Linked DNA regions of Xenopus tropicalis. The protein of the gene in region 1 purifies or fractionates together with the protein of each later gene. This does not show direct contact. Links are inferred from orthologs where the notes say so. Each region holds a gene or a part of one and is shown on either strand. Other genes may lie near its edges.

Evidence for each region.
Region 2: the proteins of socs6 (region 1) and cul5 purify together in Homo sapiens (affinity purification with mass spectrometry; 5 studies listed by BioGRID and IntAct, counting the BioPlex papers as one, with this or other methods). This does not show direct contact. The link is inferred for Xenopus tropicalis from reciprocal best matches to the Homo sapiens genes SOCS6 and CUL5.

What each region holds. Positions count from the first base shown.
Region 1 is NC_030682.2:101,219,125-101,223,450, forward strand, and holds the start of socs6 (suppressor of cytokine signaling 6), read right to left. Parts: upstream 2,842-4,326; 5' UTR 2,740-2,841; intron 1-2,739. UniProt on the Homo sapiens protein: SOCS family proteins form part of a classical negative feedback system that regulates cytokine signal transduction.
Region 2 is NC_030678.2:159,951,727-159,955,551, forward strand, and holds part of cul5 (cullin-5), read right to left. Parts: intron 2,333-3,825; coding exon 2,225-2,332; intron 1,424-2,224; coding exon 1,359-1,423; intron 1,035-1,358; coding exon 902-1,034; intron 297-901; coding exon 165-296; intron 1-164. UniProt on the Homo sapiens protein: Core component of multiple cullin-5-RING E3 ubiquitin-protein ligase complexes (ECS complexes, also named CRL5 complexes), which mediate the ubiquitination and subsequent proteasomal degradation of target proteins.

The DNA.
Region 1 (4,326 bases):
TCTTTGTATGTAAGAAACGCAAGATAAATGTATCAAATTTAATGACAATTTTTAGAAAAACCATAAAAAAACACTACACTTAGGAAAGTTTTGTAGTTTGAAGTCTGAAGTGTTATTAGAGCTTCTCCAGCAGAATCCTGCATTGAAATCCACTTTTTAAAAGAACAGATTTTTTTTAAGATTTATTTTTGAAATTTCACATGGGCCAGCCATGTTCTTCATTTCCCAGGGTGTGTGACCTGTGCTCTAATAAACATCAGTCACACTTTACTGCTGCGCTGCAAGTTGTTTCTTTTTGCATTAAGTCCGTGTGTGTGTGCATGTGTGTGAAGGATCTTTTGTCTGGTCCTAGGTAGAAAATTTGCACGAAGATCCAATTCCCTTCCCATCTGTACAAGAACCCATTATCGTCTGCGAGCCATGGTATCTCCAGAGGACACCATAGAAGGGGTGTACTTTCATCCTCGCTCCCCCCAAGTAGTCTCACCATTGTTTCAATGGCTACTAATACTCCTACAACTCCAGTAGTGCCACTACTGTTTCAGTTCCTCCTTTAGCTTGTTATCTAGATTGTAAGCTCTACGGGGCAGGGACCTCAATCCTCTTGTGTCTTTGACTCTTAACTTATTCCAACTGTATCTTGTATTTATTTATTTGCATTTATTGTTATACTGTGTATTTATCTATTATTATCTTAATAACCCCCTGTTTGTATTAATGTATTCTACTGTACAGCGCTGTGTACATAAGTAGCGCTTTATAAATAAAGAAATACATACATACATATTGGGCACTGGAAATGTAGCAATGCAGTAGCTGATGCATACAAATACTTTAAAAGAAAGAAGTAAAACTATATATATTAATAAATCATTTAACAAAGATTAGCAGCGCCTATAGTCAGTGGGTAGACCATAACCAGGTATTTACATCTCCAGTTGGGATCCTATAGGTACAGATTATTAGCAACATGGTGCACCATGTGAAAGACACACTCATTAACAACAGACAGAAACTTGTCAACTTCCTCAAATTTTTTTGGAAGTCGCACTGATTTGGCTTCCCCTCCCCATTTGCAGTGTGAGCCCAATCTCCCACTTCCTATAGCTTGCACATTCATTCACATTCGCTCTCACAAATTTACCAACAATAAAGGCAGCGCTGGACAGAACTACAATTGTGTCAAGCCACATAAAAAAGGATTTAATTAGGGATCAATCAAAAGGAAATATTTTGCCAAGATGACAGCTTCGGAGTCCCACAATCGAATACCATAAGGGAGCCTATAGTACTAAAAACTATTCAACTGTTGGCAATAGTACTTTTCATATACCCCAACTAAGGTTTAGATGAGTTTCATGTGGAAGCTGCTTTCATGCATGTATCTCAAGTACTGTCAATTTTTTAGCGAAGATGAGGGCCTCTATGTAAGTAAAAAGGTTGTAGGATCTTCATAAAGAACCCATGCATATACACACAGACAGGAACAGTAGTAAAGAAAGAGTGGGTTAAAGGAAAAAGAAAGTCAAAGTCACTTGGGGGTGCCAAAATGTTAGGCACCCCCAAGTGACTTTGCCCACCTACCTGGTGCCCCTGTGAGGAGAGAACAGCACCAGCCCGGGGTAGCTGCCGGCGCTTCCTTCTTCCTGACTCGCTGCGCGCGCATGCGCAGTAGAGTGAAAAGCCGAACTTAAACATTAAAGTCGGCTTATCACTCTACTGCGCATGCGCCCACCGCTGGCATTTCAGCAACGGAAGCCAGAAGAAGGAAGCGATCCGCTCCAGGTACCCCGGGCTGGTGCTGTTTTCTCCTAATAGGGGCACCAGCTCGGGGTACGAGGTAAGCGGTTAAAGTCACTTGGGGGTGCCTAACATTTTGGCACCCCCAAGTGATTTTGCCTTTCGTTTTCCTTTAAGCTGGGAATGCACTATAATATGGCAACGTTACTAAACAAGCGGAACTTTCGCCATTTCATCTCCAACACACTGGGATGACACAGGATGATCCAATTGTTTTGTCAATGGGCAAACAATCAAATCATAATGGTGGCTTGAGGAAACCATTGGCAGAGGACTGCATCAATGTGCCAATTCAGTCCTTATCTTACTGGATTTTCACATCTGCCTGATATAATACCTGGATGATTTTTGGCTGTGTGTTGGTGGGCAGGCTATCGGCATGGGCCAAAAAGCTGCTGCTCTGGTCTGTAGGGGGCGAGTAGGCAACTTTCGTTGACCCATGCATGGCACCCAAGTATAATAAAAGTCATAAATAGGATAAATATGAGCAATTCAAATAACTGTCCTACTTGATATGTATGTATTGTTTAGCTCCCCCTCAGTCAGCAGAGCTTACACTTTACATACCTCTAAATGTAACTATTTCATATAACCAACTGCCAGACGTGTCCCTTATTCATCCCCTGCCTACGTATAAGGCTTTTATTCCATTCCATTCTCCATTCTCATGGGGATTGCAAGCTTTTAGGCCTATAGAAGTGTCATTGTCAGGAACAACTAACCCCATGGCGAAACTTCAGCTCAAGAGACTGCAATTCTCTCAATAACACAAAACATAGAGAACAAACAAAAGGTAATGCCAAAAACAATGTTTTTGCTTAAAGTAAGGCACTTAATGATATGAACAACAATGTATTCCCCACTAAAGCTGTAGCAATACAAAGAGGATGACTATGGAACGTCTGGCATTTCTGTTGTTATTAAAGTACAATTCCATACCGCCCAACAGTGCCGATGTTCTTAACGCAACCCGCAGTCCCGGATCGCAGCTTAAACGTCCCACAACGCCGTTAATGCCCAGCTCCTTGGCTCCTGCCGGACAGCTAACCCCCGACGTCACAACTCTCATCTCGCGAGACTGAGGCGTCACGACCGTACGTATAAAAACGCGGCGACGCGGCACGTTTACGTCTGAGGTGAGGGGCGGAGGTGGGTTGCTAAGGAAGGATGCTAAGGAAGGATGCTGTAGTATAGTGTATAGCTATGGTATAGTGTATAGGTATAGTATAGTGTATAGGTATAGTATAGTGTATAGCTATAGTATAGCGTACACAGTCAGTAGGTGCGTCAGGGTGCGGGCGTGAGATACATTTTCTCAATACAAAAATTAGTATGCTCTGGTTTCTTTCGTGGCAGTCTCCAGCAAAGATTGCTGCCACCCAAGCCTCAGCTCGATTGGTCGCAAGTAATTGTGTTCTGTGCTAGACGGGCAGATTTATCAAAATGTGAGTTAAGAGCTTTATGCATAAAAACTCACCCATGTTCTCTTCATTCCTATGGGATTTTTTGAAGTGCGTGAAAGTTAGAGTTTACCATTTGATAAATACATTTCTAAAAGTCCCATAGGAATGAATAGAACATGGGTGAGTTTTTATGTATTAAGCTCTAAACTCAAATATTGCTAAATCTGCCCCTAAGGGGCTGATTTAACAAAGTCCAAATAGGTACGATTACAAAAAAAAAATTTTTTCGTTAATTTCTGCTACTTTTTCATACTTTGCATCAATTTTGTGCGACAAAATCATATTTGTTGCAACAAGTACGAAAGTTTAATTATTCATTCAAGCTTCAGTATCGTGACTTTCCTTGGGCCAGGTTGGAGCTGCAGAGTGCCATTGAGCCCTATGGGAGACTTTCCTTGGGACAGGTTGGAGCTGCAGAGTGCCATTGAGCCCTATGGGAGACTTTCCTTGGGCCAGGTTGGAGCTGCAGAGTGCCATTGAGCCCTATGGGAGACTTTCCTTGGGCCGGGTTGGAGCTGCAGAGTGCCATTGAGCCCTATGGGAGACTTTCCTTGGGCTGGGTTGGAGCTGCAGAGTGCCATTGAGCCCTATGGGAGACTTTCCTTGGGCCAGGTTGGAGCTGCAGAGTGCCATTGAGCCCTATGGGAGACTTTCCTTGGGCCAGGTTGGAGCTGCAGAGTGCCATTGAGCCCTATGGGAGACTTTCCTTGGGCCAGGTTGGAGCTGCAGAGTGCCATTGAGCCCTATGGGAGACTTTCCTTGGGCCGGGTTGGAGCTGCAGAGTGCCATTGAGCCCTATGGGAGACTTTCCTTGGGCCAGGTTGGAGCTGCAGAGTGCCATTGAGCCCTATGGGAGACTTTCCTTGGGCCAGGTTGGAGCTGCAGAGTGCCATTGAGTCCTATGGGAGGCTTCCAAAATCATGCACTGAAGGTTCAGTACTCTTGACTTGTTCTAGGGAACAAAAATGACATTTTGTTTCCTGGTTGCCAACAATAACTCTTCTCCTTCCTAATTTAACCAGAAAGAAAAGAGGTTTCTATGCACACTATGGTGAAATAAAGT
Region 2 (3,825 bases), on another chromosome or scaffold:
GTATGTTACACAGTGAAAGATTCTTGCCCTACAGATATTTACTTTACCAGCGACTAGCTACCTGCAATCAGTCTACTATGGGTTTCCCTAAACTTGCTCCATTTACAGTGCCCACTGTTTGGGCACTGTCTAATGTCAGTTTGAACAGCTCAAGTGATAGTTACCCTGAGCCACTCCACCATGTTTTCTTCTATTTCACTGTCGGCGGAGATATCTAAAATGAGGCGGCGTGTCAGGTGAGCCTTGTGGTACCTCATGAACACATCCTTGTTCTGCACATATTTTAGCACCAACAGCTGCAGGGGAAAACAAATACAGTCCGTTATATTTTTTTTTATTCCAGTAATTAATTTATTCCAAATATGTTTACAGGTAGGAAATCAGAAAAGAACATGTAAATTGAGTTTAACCCATTGTCATTCAATTCTATCGGTCTATTGGTGTTACATCAAGGGTGTAGCTCTTCTATGGTTTTCTGCAGTATAGCACAGTTGTAACCAACACCATCTCTTAACCTGCTGTATAATGATTGGTTTCAGCCCCTCTTACACATATCAGAGAAAGATCTCTCTCCTTCATAACAAGCCTGAGTTGGGAAGGGTGACACGTCATTTTCTTATAGAGTTTTTGCGGCTATGAGCATCTGTGCCACTAGCTTGCTGTTGTCTGGGGGCCTTAGTGAATTAATTGGTTTGCCTAAAAGGTAAGTTGAGTTTCTGCTGTTTCATATTCAGTCTCTATACAGCCTACTTAGTCCTACAGAGCCCGGTAGGTGAAGGAAGCTGGTGTACTGCTCATCAGATGCCAAATGCTGAATAACGTTAAGGTTACCATTTACCTTTGAATGCAACAAAGCCCAAATCATAGTGTAAGAAGGACACAAAATGTGTTCTGTACATACCACTTCCTTCAACTTTGCCTCGATTTCCTCAGAAGTCAGTTTCTTACTGAGTGGCGTTTTCCGTAACAACATATCACAATAGTTAGCGAGCAACTCTGGGCACTTGGACTCCGGCTGTGTTTTCAGACCCACCCTTAAATGAGAAAGAATCCCATAATAAGAATAATGATTGTTACTAACACCACATTTTGGATTTATAGATCCAGGATGCTCCTACCAAAATAATATACATTATATTGTCATAATGGGAAGAGGTACTATGGAACCTTACCTGTACATCAATTTATTTCTAACCCCTGCCCTTATCTCTACCCTTGTCTGAGGATCTATCACGACAGCCCTCGCCTCTCCCAGCTATTCTTAATTTGTTCCTTATAAATAAGTATAACACAAAATCATTTAGCCTGAGAAATATATAAATCAAAGAGAATAACAATTAAAGACACATGTGACTTACCCTTTCTGCTTTAGTGGCAATTCAAGTTTAAATATTGTTGCATCATTTACAACAGCTTTGTATGCCTGAAATAAAGGGAAACAGGGAAAATTTAAACTGGACACTTAATGCTTGGCAGAAATGTAATATTTATTGAATTGGCACACTGGCACAGATCTCTGAAGTCCAATGCAATGATTACACCAGGTTTTATTTTGTATGTATATTTGTGCAGTACATATATTAACAGCTTCTCTAAAGATGCAACAATTTTTCTTTCAGATTTGACCTTATCTCGGTGACACCCTCTTTCTCTCTTTGTCCATAATATAAATCTCATCCCAAAGAACCTATATACCTATTATAGGGCACAACTGAGATTAACGAGCTAGAATGGGTCCACTGAGCACCTATTATCATACAAAATGCAGAAACAGTATCACATATTTATTTCAATTAAACGTCATTAACCTGTAAATCAAATTGCCACAAAAACAGACGTTAAATTGTTTGCACATATATCTACATGTATGCATCTATAAAAGTTATGTTTTAATTGTATCTCTCTTTACTCTCCCCCTCCATGAAATAGACGGTTCAGTACAACATCATTTTTATACAGTCCAGCCAATGAATACTTGGTATGTCAGTAATAGGACCATGGTGCTACTCTATTGGAAGCTTGGCCACACAACCACTGTTGCTCTCAATTCTGTTTACAAATTCTAATTTCCATAGAAATTATTTTCTGTGCCCAGCAATGCCTTCAAAAGTAATGGAATAGCTTTAGAAAGTGGATTTATTTTACCTTTATATATGTTGGGCCAACATACTCAACATTTACGTAAAACAACAATAAAATGTAATACTAAAAAATGTTATATTACCTTATCTCGTGCAGTGAGAAACCGTGGATCGTCCTGGAAGGCTTCTTTTACTAGTTTACTAAATCTATTAAACAGGGTCAGTAATTGTTCAACATATTTTTCAGAATCCTTGAGACAAGTAAACAAAAAAAAGCATGGTATTAGTACTAAAGAAACCCTTCTTTTGTTGTAATGCAGAAAACAGTGTGCAACAGCAAAGCAGTTATGTGAGTGTGGGGGGCGGGGCACATAAAGTGGCATTACACCATGTTAAATCTAGAGTATTAATTCATTTTGGTTTATGTGAAGCAGGGTAACATTCTAATGTAAGGGGGAAGGAATCTCCTCTGTACCATTTTTTTTTTCACCTGCAGAGGCCTCCCTCCCCCCCACACCTCCCAACCAACACCAATATGGCCCTGCTCCCCTGTGCCTCATGTATGACAGACTGACTTCCTCTGCCCTTGATATCCAGCAGACAAAAGTATGCACAACGGAAGCCAGGACCATATCAGTTTCAAATGCACACAGTCCTGGTTGGCATGCAGTGGTCAGACATGGCAGCCATTGACCCTGCTGTGCTGCACTGCCTTTTACTGTAAGGTCTAAGGAAGCAAGGCTGTATTGAAGTGTGTGGATGGTGAGGTTTGGTAGGGCCCTCTGCTGGGGATTAAAGTGGTATGTGCAGTTAAAGCCAAGGCCATATTGGCTTTAAATGTTCTTGCTACTAGTTGGCAATCTCTGCCAGAGAGAGGGGGTCCAGTGGTATTGGGGACACTCACTGATGATGGGTAAGTTCTGAAGGGACACCTAAGTCCAGGTCCAGACTCAAAATAAGCCTTGGTATTACAACTATACAGAGTTGCAAATGGCCTACACCAGCCCAATAAATAATGACTGTCTATCGCATCTTACAGCAGCCCCTCTGGCATTTGCTAAAATCCACATATTGCCAGTCTGAACCAGCCTGAAACCCCCACAGGTGTCACCTGAGACAACCCAACAACCATAATAACAGCCCCCAACTTTTTTTTTTTACATAAATGTTGCTCACGGGTAAAAATGTTTATGGACCTCTGACAAGTAACTATGTGCATGTCATGCCATTTGCAAATATCTAAATAATAAAGAAGGAGCCTATAAAAAGCTGTGACTTGCAAAGTCACATTTGAAGCCTTCTGTGATACATTTCATGCTGGGTGGCTGAATGCTTTCCAATACTATTTTTGTTTTTTACATTATAGCAGTCGTTTCTGCTAACCACCTTATCTCCGAGTCTTGTTGTAAAAGATAAGGTTCTGGTAGGTAAAATTACCAACAGTGTTCAGACATGGCGAGAGCCAACCCTGTTACCCTACTCTGCCATTTATTATGAGGTTCAAACATGCAAAGCTGTATTTGGTGTGTAGATGGTGTGGTTCAAGAGGGAGCCTCTGCAGGGGATTAAACTGGTATAAAGGGGTTTTATTATAAAGCATGACTTGACCTGTGCCTTTCAGACACTGGGATGCACATCACCCCAGGAAGCAACAACACAGAGTGCTGCTTACATGCAAATCCTTACAGTACAGGCACTTCATCTAGGGTGAGTGCAAAGGGTGACTCAGAACTGGATTACATGT